2 linked regions of the Drosophila melanogaster genome follow. The protein of the gene in region 1 binds, or shares a complex with, the protein of each later gene. Each region holds a gene or a part of one and is shown on either strand. Other genes may lie near its edges.

Region 1 (7,957 bases):
TGACTCTCATATTCTTGCGGTTTTCTTTTTCTTTCTTTCTTTCTATTCTTCTGTTCTCTGCACAGTTTGCTTTCCATTTTTTCGTTTTTATTTTAACTCTTTTGCAATTTTTTTGTTTTTTCTTTGCTTTTTTAAAAGTGTATGGTTGTCGCGTTTCTTTTTCTAAACAAAGCTTTCTTAAAGTTTGAATTTGAGAAAAAAGAATTGAAAAAAATTACATATCGCTTTCGTGTTTGTTGTTGTTTGAAAGTGTGGATGGAAAAAGTGTACGAAAAACTCAATATGTATGTAACACTAGAAACTTCTTTAAAATTTTTAAAACACAATTTCAATACTTGCAAGAAGCGGTTTACATGTATGCTTTGCTTTAATCTGTTTATTTTGCAATGGTTTTTTGGTGTTTTCATTATACGCATACAAAATAATATCGATCCAGTTAAAGCAATAACGAAATTTTTTTCATTTCACATTTTTCCGTTTTTTTTTTTAATTAACATGTTTATGTAAAAAAAAAGAATTTATAAGTGGACTGCAGAATTTGATTGCGTGACTTTCTTCTTTTGCTTCGTGTACTTGCGTAAATGCGTTCGAAATTAAATGATTGAAATTGCTTTTGTTGATGTTTCTGGGATTAGAAAAGAAAAAGCCGTAGATTTTTCGCTTTGTTTTTCTGTGTTAATTGTGTGTCCTTGGCAATCCTCCCCTGCGCAAAGCATCAGTGAATGCGAATTTTTGTTGTTCATGTATTGAAAGATTAGTGGAAAACTGCAAGGACAAAAGAGAGGCGAGTTTAGACAGCTTGAACTTTTCGGAAAATTTGTAGACTACTTACTTTTTGGGTGTAAAGTGTTCTTGTAAAATGTTCATACGCTTGAGCTGTTCGAGCTTAGTTGGCGGGCTCGGTGACGCGGTGCACCTGAAGCACGGCCACAGCCTCCTCCACCTTGGCCTTAAGGGCCTCCTGATCCTCGATCATGTGCAAGAGCTCAGAGTTTTCGATCTCCAACAACATGCCGGTGATCTTACCAGCCAAATTGGCGTGCATATGCTCAATCATCGGATACAGACGCTCGCCCAGGATCTGTTTCTGCTCCTGCGGCTTGGCGTTGGCCAGCAACGAGGCAATGAGCTTCTCAGAATCTGCAAGAAAAATAGCAATGGTGCCATTAGTGACAAATTGTGCATATTTTCAGTCGACCTAAAACTTACTCTTTCCTTGCAATTGCTGTGGAATTGGCTGGGTCTGATGCAACTGTGGCACTGGAGGATTGCGCATGTTTGAGGTGTACTTATAGTTGGAAGTACGCTGCTGGGCACCGCCAGCGATTTGGGCTCCGGGGATCTGCATGTTGGGTGCTGCAGTTTGCTGGCCAGTAATAGCGCGTGCTCCAGTGTTGCGCATGTTGTTAGCCGCAGCAGCGGCGGCATGTGTGCCCTGCACCTGAGGCTGTGCCCCGCGAGCGCCAGCAGCAGCCGAACGGAACTGAGTGGGCACCGCACCGGCTGTGCCCTGGAAGCCACCAGCAGCGGCAGCTCCGGCCTGGACACCCTGTATGGCTGCTGGGGGACGCACCTGGGGCACCCAGCGGGGTGTGTTTCTCATCTGAGTGGCCACCTGGGAACCGAAGAAACGCTGATTTGACGGAAGGGTCGGCACAAAGAAGCCGCTAGCCGCGTTGGGCTGGTAGATCTGTCCCAGCTGCTGCATACGCATGCCGGTCATGTGACGCATGTACTGCGAGGCGAGATGAGCCTTGCGCTCCTCCTTCCTTTGGGCCAAAGCAACGTACAACGGCTTACTGCCGACGACGCGACCGTTCAGCTCGGTGACGGCGCAGGTAGCCTCGCTTGCGGCATTGAAGCACACGAAGCCGAATCCCTTGGAGCGACCCTCCTCATCGGTCATGACCTTGGCCGATGTGATGTTGCCGTATGGAGAGAACGCGATGCGCAGACGATCGTCATCGATTGTGTCGTCCAGGTTCTTAACGTACAAGTTAACGCCGAACACAGACTCGTGACGCTTCTGCTTCAGTTCCTCGAACTTGCGCTTCAGCTCCTGCTGGCGTTCGGCCTTCTTCTGGGCACGAGCCACGTACAGGGACTTGCCCTCTCCCATGTCCTTGCCATTGAGAGCCTGAACGGCCGCCTCAGCAGCCTCTGTTGTCTCGAATGCAACGAATCCGAAGCCCTTGCTCTTGCCATCCTCCTTGGACATGACCTTGTAGCTGGTTATCTTGCCGTAGGGCTCAAAGAATTCCTTCAGTTTTTCATCGTCGAAATCCTCAGTGAAGTTCTTCACATATACATTGGTGAAGAGCTTAGCCTTCTCGCCCAGCTCCTTCTCGCGCTCCTTGCGCGGGATGAACTTACCCACGTAGACCTTCTTGCCGTTGAGCAACATGCCATTGACTTTGTCGATGGACGTGTTTGCGGCCTCCTCGGTCTCGAAGTGGACGAATCCATAGCCCTTTGAGTTGCCCTTTTCATCGGTGGCTACCTTGCAGCTTAAAATGTTGCCGAAGGCGGAGAAAGTGTCGTAGATTGCCTTGTTGTCGATGGCCCTATCTAAGTTCTTGATGAACACGTTGCCCACACCTGAGCGACGAAGAGAAGGATCACGCTGAGACCACATAATGCGAATGGGCTTGTTGCGAACCAGGTCAAAGTTCATGGTGTCCAAAGCACGCTCAGCTGTTGATGAAAATCGGGAAAACATTTGGTTACTACCGACACGATTTGGGTATATCAAGATCATTATAAGTTGAAGGGGCTTAAATAACAATGTGACTCTTCAACTTCTGCACTGGCCATGAGCAAAAGCAGCGCAGTGCATGGTAAGTCAAGTCTGATCTTTTATCTGGCAACTATGAATCTTAGTCGTGTCAAAAAGGGTTGAATCTGACCAACCAATGGGTAGGAGTTGCTAGATGTCTAAATACAAGGACAATCTTATCAGTCTAATCATGTGATACATTGAGTGTTTGTTATGCAGATGGTATGCAAAACCCATCAGCATGGTAAGTCGCATTGCTTTCTCTGGCAACTATGAATCTTAGTCGTGTCAAAATGGGTTAAATCTGACCAACCAATGGGTAGAAGTTGCTAGAAGCTTAGATAAGAAAGGGCATAATCCTTCGAGTCTAATCATATGATGTATTATTTAGTGTTTGTTATGCTTCTACTTCTGTGGATGGCATAGATCAGCCATCTACATGGTAAGTTGCATTGCTTTCTCTGGCAACATTGAATCTTAGTCGTGTCAAAAAGAGATAAATCTGACCAACCAATGGGTAGGAGTTGCGAGATATGAATCGAAAAAAGAAAAACATTTAGGGTGTTACTAGTCTAGAACGAGATGGTATCATTTTTGAAAGGTCTGTTTTTCCAACCTAACCTTAACAGCTAGAGTTCAAGAAACTTGCTGGAATGCGACAGACTTTCACACGCAGCGTAATCATCACCAACCGCCAGCTTTGTGCCATTGTGCGCTTAATTGAATAAACAAATGTAAGCGAACAACGGGAATCGAAGAAGCACCAACTATGCGCAGTGAAAGTTTTGTTTTCGTTTTTTGTAAAAACAAGATTTTGATGGTTAAAAGAGAGGCCGAAAAGCAGTTCACTGACATGTCAAGAATTTGGAAGTGTTGATGGATGGAATGCGGAGAGTATGGAAGATATGAGAAAGTGAAAGCAAAACAAAAGTTGGAGGCAGTACGAAAACTAAAGAGCGAACGTGCGGAAACTCAGTTAATGGAATATAACCTAAAATAGATGAAGGCCAAAAAGAAATGGTCCAAACAACAATGAACACATGTTTTTGCGCGTCGGCGTGTGCGTGCGCGCAAGTTTGCCGCTTGGAAACAACACACATCACACGAATAAAACGAGAAGAACGGGCAAGGAAACAATGAAACCACCAATGGGCGGGGCTGCGATAAGCAGTTTGGGCAGTATGGAACCATATTATTCCATCATAATTGCAATTTTGTGCGAAATTGAGACGGAAATTTCTAGGCGAACAGTTGATGAGTGCCACGAGCCAGCTGTTTAGCCCCCATCATCCCCCCGCACAAATCGTATACATCCAGAATAACTGGAACTGATATAATCATGTGTGTGTGTGTACACACTGGCGGGAATTGAGTGCGTGTGTGTGTGCGCGACGAGATTAACGTAAGCAGTGCACTGTGGAACAAGTTATGAAACACTTGGAAGCCGTTTATCTGGTCTCCTATGAAAGACATCTTTCAATAAAGTCCAGTTTGGACTTGCGTTTAGCCCCACTGTATGACATGCGCTAGTGTGCGTGCGTGTGTGAGTAAGCGAGTGCAAAACTGCACACGTGTTTTCTTTGTTTCGCGCGGAAGGGGGCTACTTTTGCGGGCAGTAAGACTAAAAAAATTACACTACTTTTGCGGGGATTACTCACCATCGGCTGGCTGCTGGAAGTTGACGTAGGCATAGCCCAACGAGCGACGGGTAATCACATCGCGGCAGACACGAATGGACAGCACTGGACCAGCAGACGAGAACTTGTCAAAAAGTCCCGATTCGTTGACGTCCTGTGGGAGATCACCGACGTATAGAGAAGCCATATTTGGTGATCAGGTCTACCTGCAATTTTTAACAATTAATTTCCACTTTTTTGACACTGAATTTTGGGTTTTTTCTTAATCTTTACGGACCGGATGGATTCGACCAGGCAGGCGGTGAAATAGAAAGAAAAAAAGCGGCGTGGCTTTCGGTCTTCTATTCGTCTCTCTGTCTGTGTGTCTGGGTGGCAACACTGGTACATGTGACAGTCGGTAGACATGGCAACGTTGGCATTTGCTTTGTTGTTGCTCTTTGCTCTCCCCTTTTATTTCTCTTCGTGTTGGAAAATTTCCACACAGACACAAAGATAGACACGCGTTTGCCTGATCGAATTTTGGGGAATTCTTTGATTTTCTCGAAAATATGCGACAACTAGTTCCTAGACCACTATTTTGCGGGCAATCTGGCGTTTATAGACGCCATCTTTGAGCGAAGAACGACCGCAAACAAAGCAAATTTCGATGGGAAAGGAAAATTTCCCTATTCGCTTTGTCGTGCGTTGCGCCCTCTCACTCTCTACACCATTGTAACCAATAGCTTTACACTGTACTTACTTCTCAAACACGCTCGATTTTTTTTGCTACTTTTTACAATTTTTTTTGTTACGTTTTTGTGTTTTAATATTTTTTTTTATTTTTTATATGTTTTTTCTTCACAAAAAATATGTGATAAGCCGTGTGCTGAAAGCGAATCCACGACCGCTCACGTAAACGGACTCTACACGACTCATAGAGAGGAGATTCGTTAGCGATGACCCCACAAAGTATCGATTAAATCCCACTGCACAATGCTGCCACATAGGGTTAGAGACAAATAAATGTCACTAAAAAATCCGTGAGGACAATTTACTAATTACGAAGCATTATTTTGAATTTCAAAAAAGCCAGCCATCACACATAAAAAATTTTTATATTTAGCTAATTCCCGAAACATGAAATACTTGTGCATTTTCAGGGGTTCTTTGGTAACTCTGCTTCATTTATGTTCTGATATTTTCGCCAATGTCCTTGAATACTTTGTCTCATAAAACACAATCCAAAATTAGGAATGCAGTTTTTTTTTCTTTTAAAAATGAGCGTAGACTTTTAGAAAATGATTTTTTGGCACTGCACAGATATTAGCGTATGCTCCGAAAACCGAATCCCATCTTTGTAATTCCCCACTGTGCGAACTTACCTAAATCAGAGAATAAAGCGATGAGGCTGCAAGTCGACACTCCGAGAAGTGCTTGAGTACTTCTTTTCGTTCTCGATGGAAATCGGCACTACAGAGATTGAAGAATTTTTTAAGTTTTTTTTTTGTGTTTTTGTTTTTACGAAATAGACCACATTCAAGGATGGCTGAGGATAATTTTTTTTTTCTTTTTCCCGTTTTGAACGTCTGGTGCATGTGCCCTATCTGGCGATCGAGTACCTAATGAAGCGGTGTGAGGCGTCGGTGCCTGACAAGCTTCAAAGCGAAGTGTCACTTTGGGCGCCTACTGGCGTGTCCTGAGTAAAATCTTAAAAGATTTGACATTTCGGAAACATTTATTTGGGCATTATATACTTCATTAAACATATTTCGATCTGGTTTGGCCAAACATTTACTTGGCTTGAGAATTAGTTTGCTTTCAACTCAATTTTGATTTTTCGTAGCATTTAATAGTTAAACATAAAACGTACTGGCTTAATTCATTATTGTGTAGTTTTGCCTAGACTATGGGTGAAAATTATTGAACTAGTCCTACATTTTATTAAATTTGTGTGTATGTATGTATATCAATTGTTTTTTTTTTGTATGCATGACATGATTTGTGAGTTTTCCCATTTGAAGGTATATTTTTCAAAAACATACATGGGCGTGGCGTATCGCTAAAGTACAGTACTGAACTTAACTGAATTGTTCTCATTATTTAATACGTTTTCATTCATCAGCGAATTTTACATAGGCTTCCAGATTAATCTTGTAATACTTTTACCAATTTTGTGAAAACTTATTTATGTTCTGCTGCAACACTTAACTGCCATTGCACAATTATAACCTGTATTCAGTTGCTTTTTGCTTTTTTTTCGTTTTTTTTTTTTACAATTTAACATTTTATCGCTTTAATGCTGAACCAATATTTTGAACAATCTTTTTCTATTTTGGCAGTGGGTTGGTAATAAACTTTTAAACATTAACAAATAAAGAGGCCCGTAGTTGGCAGCGTTCATTAATACATAATAACGAAAAGAAATGATAATGGAAATGAAGAATATAAAATTCATAATGAGTCGGTATGCCAAAGGGTTCAATTTCCAAGCAATCCAATCGCCGTTGTCGCTGTATCTCCGCCCCACTCCACCAGGTACTGGACCTGTCCATTTCCCATGCGCCGCTTGGCCCGAATGGCAAAGGGCTCACCAGCATCTATGCGATTCATAGCGCCACCAAAGTACTTGTTCACCGACTGCTTCAAGTCCAGCATGGAATGTCCTGGGGCTCCAATGCCGTTGCTGCTGCTGCTGGTTGCCGTCGAGCTGGTGGAGTTCCGGCGGCTTTGGCTGGGTGACTGCTTCTGTGGTCGCTGGCGCAACAGGCGCCCATGTGTCGGCTTTCCCATTGGCGGCGCGGGTGGCTGCAGATCTTTGGCATAGATAGGAAGGTAGTGGCTGGGTATGGGATTGATGGTGGTGGTGCTGATGACCTATTAAGTGGAAACGAAAAAAACATCTCAAACATTATAGTTACATTGTTGTTAGTTAAACTCTTACCTCAATGGCCGTGGTCAGGCGGCGAGTGCGTCGTCTGCGCACTTCCTGATTGGGCCCTATCGTAATGTCTTTGGCACTCAGTCTTCGCTTGATGGTGCGCACCATGCGCGGCTGCTCCTTGGAGGTGCCCTTAAGCTTGAAAATGCTGTTTATGATGCCATTTACTCCGACTCCAGTTCCCACAGAAATACTTCGTCCCTGCGACGCCTTTTTGGGAGTGGCCATAAGGAATGGATTGTTGCGTCCCAAAAAGTTGACCGGCGGTGGTATGATGAGGTCCAACGAACTGGTTCCCCGACTGCTGCTTGAATTCTCGTCGGATGATAGATCACAGTGATTGCGGCTGTTGTCATAGCGTTTGGACAATCGGAAAGCCTTGCGCTTCCGACTGCTGTTTGCGTCCAGCAGAGGTGGAATGGGAGCTGGTAGTTTGCCGGGATCGCCATCGTTGGCATTGTCGTCGGCGAGGTCCGGCTTCAGTGGCAACTCATCATGCTTATCGGCCTTCTGAGCGGCCTGCTTTTTGGCCTTCTCAATAATCTGTTTGATGGGTATTTCGTCCTCGCTGGTCTCGACTGGGTCATCTTCATCTGTATTAAACTCATACACATCTTTGGGAACTCT
Region 2 (4,755 bases), on another chromosome or scaffold:
TAACCCTAAAATATGCAAAACCAGATGCAATTTAATGTGTGACCAAATCGAAGTGCTCGTAACGTAAAAATTATAAACATGATATTAAATCTTTTTAACTACAATTAGCCCGAGATTTATATTTAGCGAGGGCGTTTTGATAATCTATTCATGTTGATAACATTTTGCACTGTCGAATGTATAAAAGGCACCGTAACCAATTAACTAGATTTTGTAAATTGTAATCTTTAAAAATCTGTTCAAGGATAATCAATTTATCAGCATACATATGTATTGGATCCCATTATCATGCAAAATACCATTTAAGTTAATTATGGATTAAGCAACCAAGGAGCTGCTGAAATAAAATTCGTTAAAAGACCCAGGAAGACGTAAAACTAATGTGATTTTCTGTGGGCTGCTAAAAGGAATCTAAAAAAGGGATTTTTTGTGTTTTATGTTTTATGTGACAGAACTTCCGAAAATTAAGAATTAAACTAAGTGAATACACTTCTGCATTTTTGGGGGAATTCCAATTTTACAAAGATAATAACATATCTTCCATATTTATTTATCAGAACAAATAAAACTAGTTTCATTTTTTAAATCAATATATTGCCGCTTAATAAAAGGCGAAAAGATTTTGGGGTTGGCTTAAGTTAGAAATAGCTAGCGATGGTTCTTGTCTCGAATACGTACAGTTTAAAATTAAATATTTAGATGTAATTTTCTTAGTAATAATCCATTTAATTACATAAATTGCTTTTGTTTATTATTAAAACTAAGAATATTACATAAAAGTCACATACAATTCATATTTTATAATTTGCAGTGATAGCATAGAAAATGACATAGATGTATAACCCTGCACTTCTACTACTTTTAGACATTGCATTAAAGATAGTCCCTTTAACTGAATTAAAGTTAAATCGTTATCTTAGATAAGTTTTGATTATTTAAATATAGGAATAGAAAAGCTAAGAGATCCCTGCTCCTACTCCCATGACCACTGACGTCACAATTGTCCCTCTCTTCGCACACCTTCCAACACTGCCATCGTGCTGTCGGCAAATATGGCGCCCGCTAGCAGTTGTTGTGCTGTCGTGTGGTACGTGTGGCTGGTCCAGAAAATTCTCGTTCGCTTCAAATAGGACTATTATTTAACTCAAATTCGGAACGAAAATATGCAGAAAATGTGCCGCGAACAAAGCTGTGATGGAAAAATATGAAATGTGTTAGGGAAATTAGTTTTTAAATGGCGAATTAACGTTTTTTCGTTGCCCAGCCAGATTTTCTACGCTTCTGTGTGTGTGTGTGTGCGTTTGAGGGTACCAAATTTGCAGCCCGAAAAAAAAGTTGATGAAAATTCGTTTTTTTGCTACCAACTTGGCACTTCGGTGACTGTGCATGTGTGTGTGCAGTCTGCGGGGTTGCTAATTTTACGCTAAAAACCACAACAATAATGTGTAAAAATAGTTTACGATTGCAATTGCGTGTGCGTGTGTATGGGCGTGCATGTGTGTGTGCGTAGTAGGTTGCGCCAGTGTGTGTGCAATTTTTTCCGGCAGGCAAAAATCTCTCCATTTGCAACACTGAAAAATCGATAAAACTGCAGCAAGACTTTCGGTGTAGATTTCACTAGCCAAAAATAAAAGAAATAATAAAAAAGATGTATTAATTTTTCTTAATCGTTTCCACCTTTCTCTTTTTCTCATTCAACAGCTTTTGTAACTAAAACTCCGTTTTGACATCACTTTCATCATAATCTGAAAAAATAATAATAATATAAAAAAACAACAACAAATATGATAAAAAAATAAAAAAATCACCATCGAAAACGAATCAAAAAATAATACATACAAATATAAATCGCAAATAATTGAAAGTTACAGCAGAAATAAAAAACAACAACAACATAGCTCAAAAGGAAAAAGTCAAAGCAAAAACTTTTTAAGTTTTTTGGACTCTTCTTTGTTTTTGTTTCGTTTGCTTTGCAAAGAAAAACACACAAAACAGAAAAAACGAGAATTTTTACGCCGCCCGTCGGTGTGAGCGAGACAGACAGAGAGGGAGATAAAGCGACTGCGCAAATAAAAAAAGAAAACAAAACAACAAACAACATAAAAAACAAGCCAAGCTTGAAACGAAGACTTTCAAATAAAACAACAACAAAACCAACAACAAACCAAACAAATTGAAACGCTGTGAAATTAACTCGTCAATACTCAAAAGCACCAACAAATAAATAAACAAAAAGAAAAGCTAAAACAAAATAAAAGGCAAACCACGAAGGAGCAAGTAAAGCGGAGTTTAACAAGAAAACGGCAAAAGCACTGAAAACAAAAAAGCAACGGGAAACGAAACTAACGTGAAGTCAAAGGCAACGGCGCTGCGGCGTTCGGACTCTCGAATAAAACAAAAACAATTCAAGCAAAACCGCAAAACCTACACTTGGAAAAACGCTAAATAAATCCCAAATTCCTCATTATTTTTCCTGAAAAGCTTTAATTTAATTACGAATTTTTTGTTGTTAAGTCAGAGTGAATTCAATTTGCTAATTAATTTAAATTAAGACATCAACAACCGAGCTACAAAAGCAGCAACAACAACAAACAAACAACAACCAACAAACAACTGAATTAATGTTTTAAAGTACAAAATAACCGGGAGTAAATCAACAACAAATAATTTAAACATATTAAAAACGATTTAATTTAAAACGCAACATCAATCTAAATTATTTAACTAAACATAAAAACAAACACTGCTAGAATTTAAGTCCAAAAACAACTGATAAACGCCCACAAGGGCGAAAGGGAAGTGGGAGACAGAGCGATAAATGGAGGAGAAGCGAGGAGAGCTGAATAAAACCGATCAAGCAACAATTGTGCCGCAAAAAAAGTGTGAATAAAAAATATATACTAAAAAAATAACGGTAACAATAAAGAAAACATTTAAAACCAAAAATCTACAAGAATTCTATAAGTTTTAAGTCACGTTTTACACAGACCTACAACAACAACACCAGCAATTGAACTTAGCCAATAAATTTAATTAAAACAATAAATTAGTGAAAAAAAAATAAACGGATTAAGCCAATATATATAGAGAACGCATAACAAATTCAAAACTGCGGCCTTGTGCCAAAAAAACAGTTTTTATTTTTTCCAATAAAACATTGTTTTTTACTAGTTTTCAATTCAGATTTTTTTATAAGTGTACCTAGTGAGAAATGTTAAAAGTCTAAAACAGCAAAAGCAACTGCAACAAACGGAAGTAAAACGGAGAAAAGAAAAACAAAACAAATTCAAAGAAAGATTTAACAACTCTGTGATAATTACTGTAAATTTATAAATTTAAAGAAAAAAAAAAAACAAAAACCTAAAGAAAAACCACAAAAAAATCTCTAATTAAATGAAAGGAAAACCCCGTCATTTTTAACAGTAGGCGAAGAAGAAGAAGGAGCGAAAGAGGAAGCAGAAAGCAGAAAAACATCTTAAACCAACAACAACTTTACACTTAAGAGCAAATGCAAATGAAAAGATAAAAAACATTGAAACAAATTCGTGATATCTTAAAGGACTTCGATACATATATACTATAGTATATTATATATTATATTATATAAACTATTAAACTAAGCTTAAATCTAGTGAGCGTCAACCGAGAAAACAAAAACAAAACAATGGAATAAGTGAATAAACAACAAAACCAACCAACACAAAGCAAAAAATAAAAACCCTAGGTTATGAAAAGACTTCAAAACGCATTCAAAAAATATATATATTTAAACAAAACAAAATAAATCGTAGACTTAAAGTTCAACATAGTAAATGAGCGAGGATAACTTTACATAACGGGTGTCCTATATCTATTATATACATATATAAAAACAAAAACAAAAAAACATTAAAACTCATAATTTTTGCTTAGTGAATAGTAAATGAAACAGCAATAAAACAGCAACAAAACAACAAAAAAGAAAAAACAAATTATACAAATCGTGCAACCGAAAAGTAATAGCAACGTACAGCGAAACAAAATAGGAAATCGACACAGAAAGAAAGAAAGATACAGAGAGAGAGTGAGCGAGGAACCGGAAACGGAAGTCCCGAGAAGAGGAAGAAGGAGATTTAAACCTCGTCCCCCAAAAATCATCGTTGTACTAAAGGTATTCGAAAGTAAATAAAAAATCACTACTACTTCCTATAAACCACAACGATTGCCTACAAAATATATATTATATATATGTATACTAAATAGAAACCAATATAATCAAGCAAAACACACAAAATATTCAAATATCAAACAAAGCTAATCTAACCCAAAAGTAAAAAGTATTCCCAGTGTATTTTTCTAGTAAAACTAAAGTAAAAATATAAAAAAAAATCAACCAAATTCATTTCAAACAAAATGCAATAATTCAATAATAATTCAAAACTCGAACAAAAATAAAAACACCAACGGCAGCAGAGCTGGTGTGCATTTTCATCGTAAAACCACAATATTTTGAATACACAAAACAAACAAAAAAAATATTTCAAGAACAACAACTTTAAAAAGAAATACAACCTACAACAGACCCAGGAAGGAACTTCAAACTACCAAAACAAACCAACAACGTTACAATATTTGTCGGCATTTTTTACAAGAAATATAAAAACACAAAACAACAAGGAACACAAAAAACCAACAAACAAACAAACCAACAACAGCAAAGGAAAGCTAAGTAAAACAACCACATTTTTTGCGGGGAATGCCCTCAAGAAAAGACAA

What was found. Proteins that work in one complex are often made in the same cells at the same time.
Region 2: the proteins of pAbp (region 1) and Unr are in contact, whole or in part, in a crystal structure (PDB 7ZHR), measured with the Drosophila melanogaster proteins. Residues at the interface, in NP_476667.1 of Drosophila melanogaster: Asn184, Tyr186, Lys188, Ser211, Lys213, Met215, Phe225, Phe227, Ala229, Tyr255, Ala257, Arg258, Ala259, Gln260, Lys261; in NP_648226.2 of Drosophila melanogaster: Leu843, Glu844, Thr845, Thr846, His847, Asn848, Gly849, Val850, Glu870, Ile871, Leu872, Asp873, Glu874, Thr878, Val879, Ile880, Ser881, His883, Leu902, Ile907, Asp908.

What each region holds. Positions count from the first base shown.
Region 1 is NT_033778.4:18,138,150-18,146,106, reverse strand, and holds the start of pAbp (poly(A) binding protein), read right to left. Parts: upstream 6,030-7,957; 5' UTR 5,775-6,029; intron 5,331-5,774; exon of another isoform or gene 5,153-5,330; intron 4,733-5,152; exon of another isoform or gene 4,691-4,732; intron 4,620-4,690; 5' UTR 4,601-4,619; coding exon 4,435-4,600; intron 3,306-4,434; exon of another isoform or gene 3,169-3,305; intron 3,108-3,168; exon of another isoform or gene 2,965-3,107; intron 2,929-2,964; exon of another isoform or gene 2,783-2,928; intron 2,695-2,782; coding exon 1,210-2,694; intron 1,141-1,209; coding exon 887-1,140; 3' UTR 833-886; intron 766-832; 3' UTR 1-765. Other genes in the region: Pcl (polycomblike), read right to left, coding at 6,871-7,266, 7,334-7,957.
Region 2 is NT_037436.4:8,438,665-8,443,419, reverse strand, and holds the start of Unr (upstream of N-ras), read left to right. Parts: upstream 1-1,712; 5' UTR 1,713-4,755. UniProt on the Drosophila melanogaster protein: RNA-binding protein that acts as a regulator of dosage compensation in both males and females.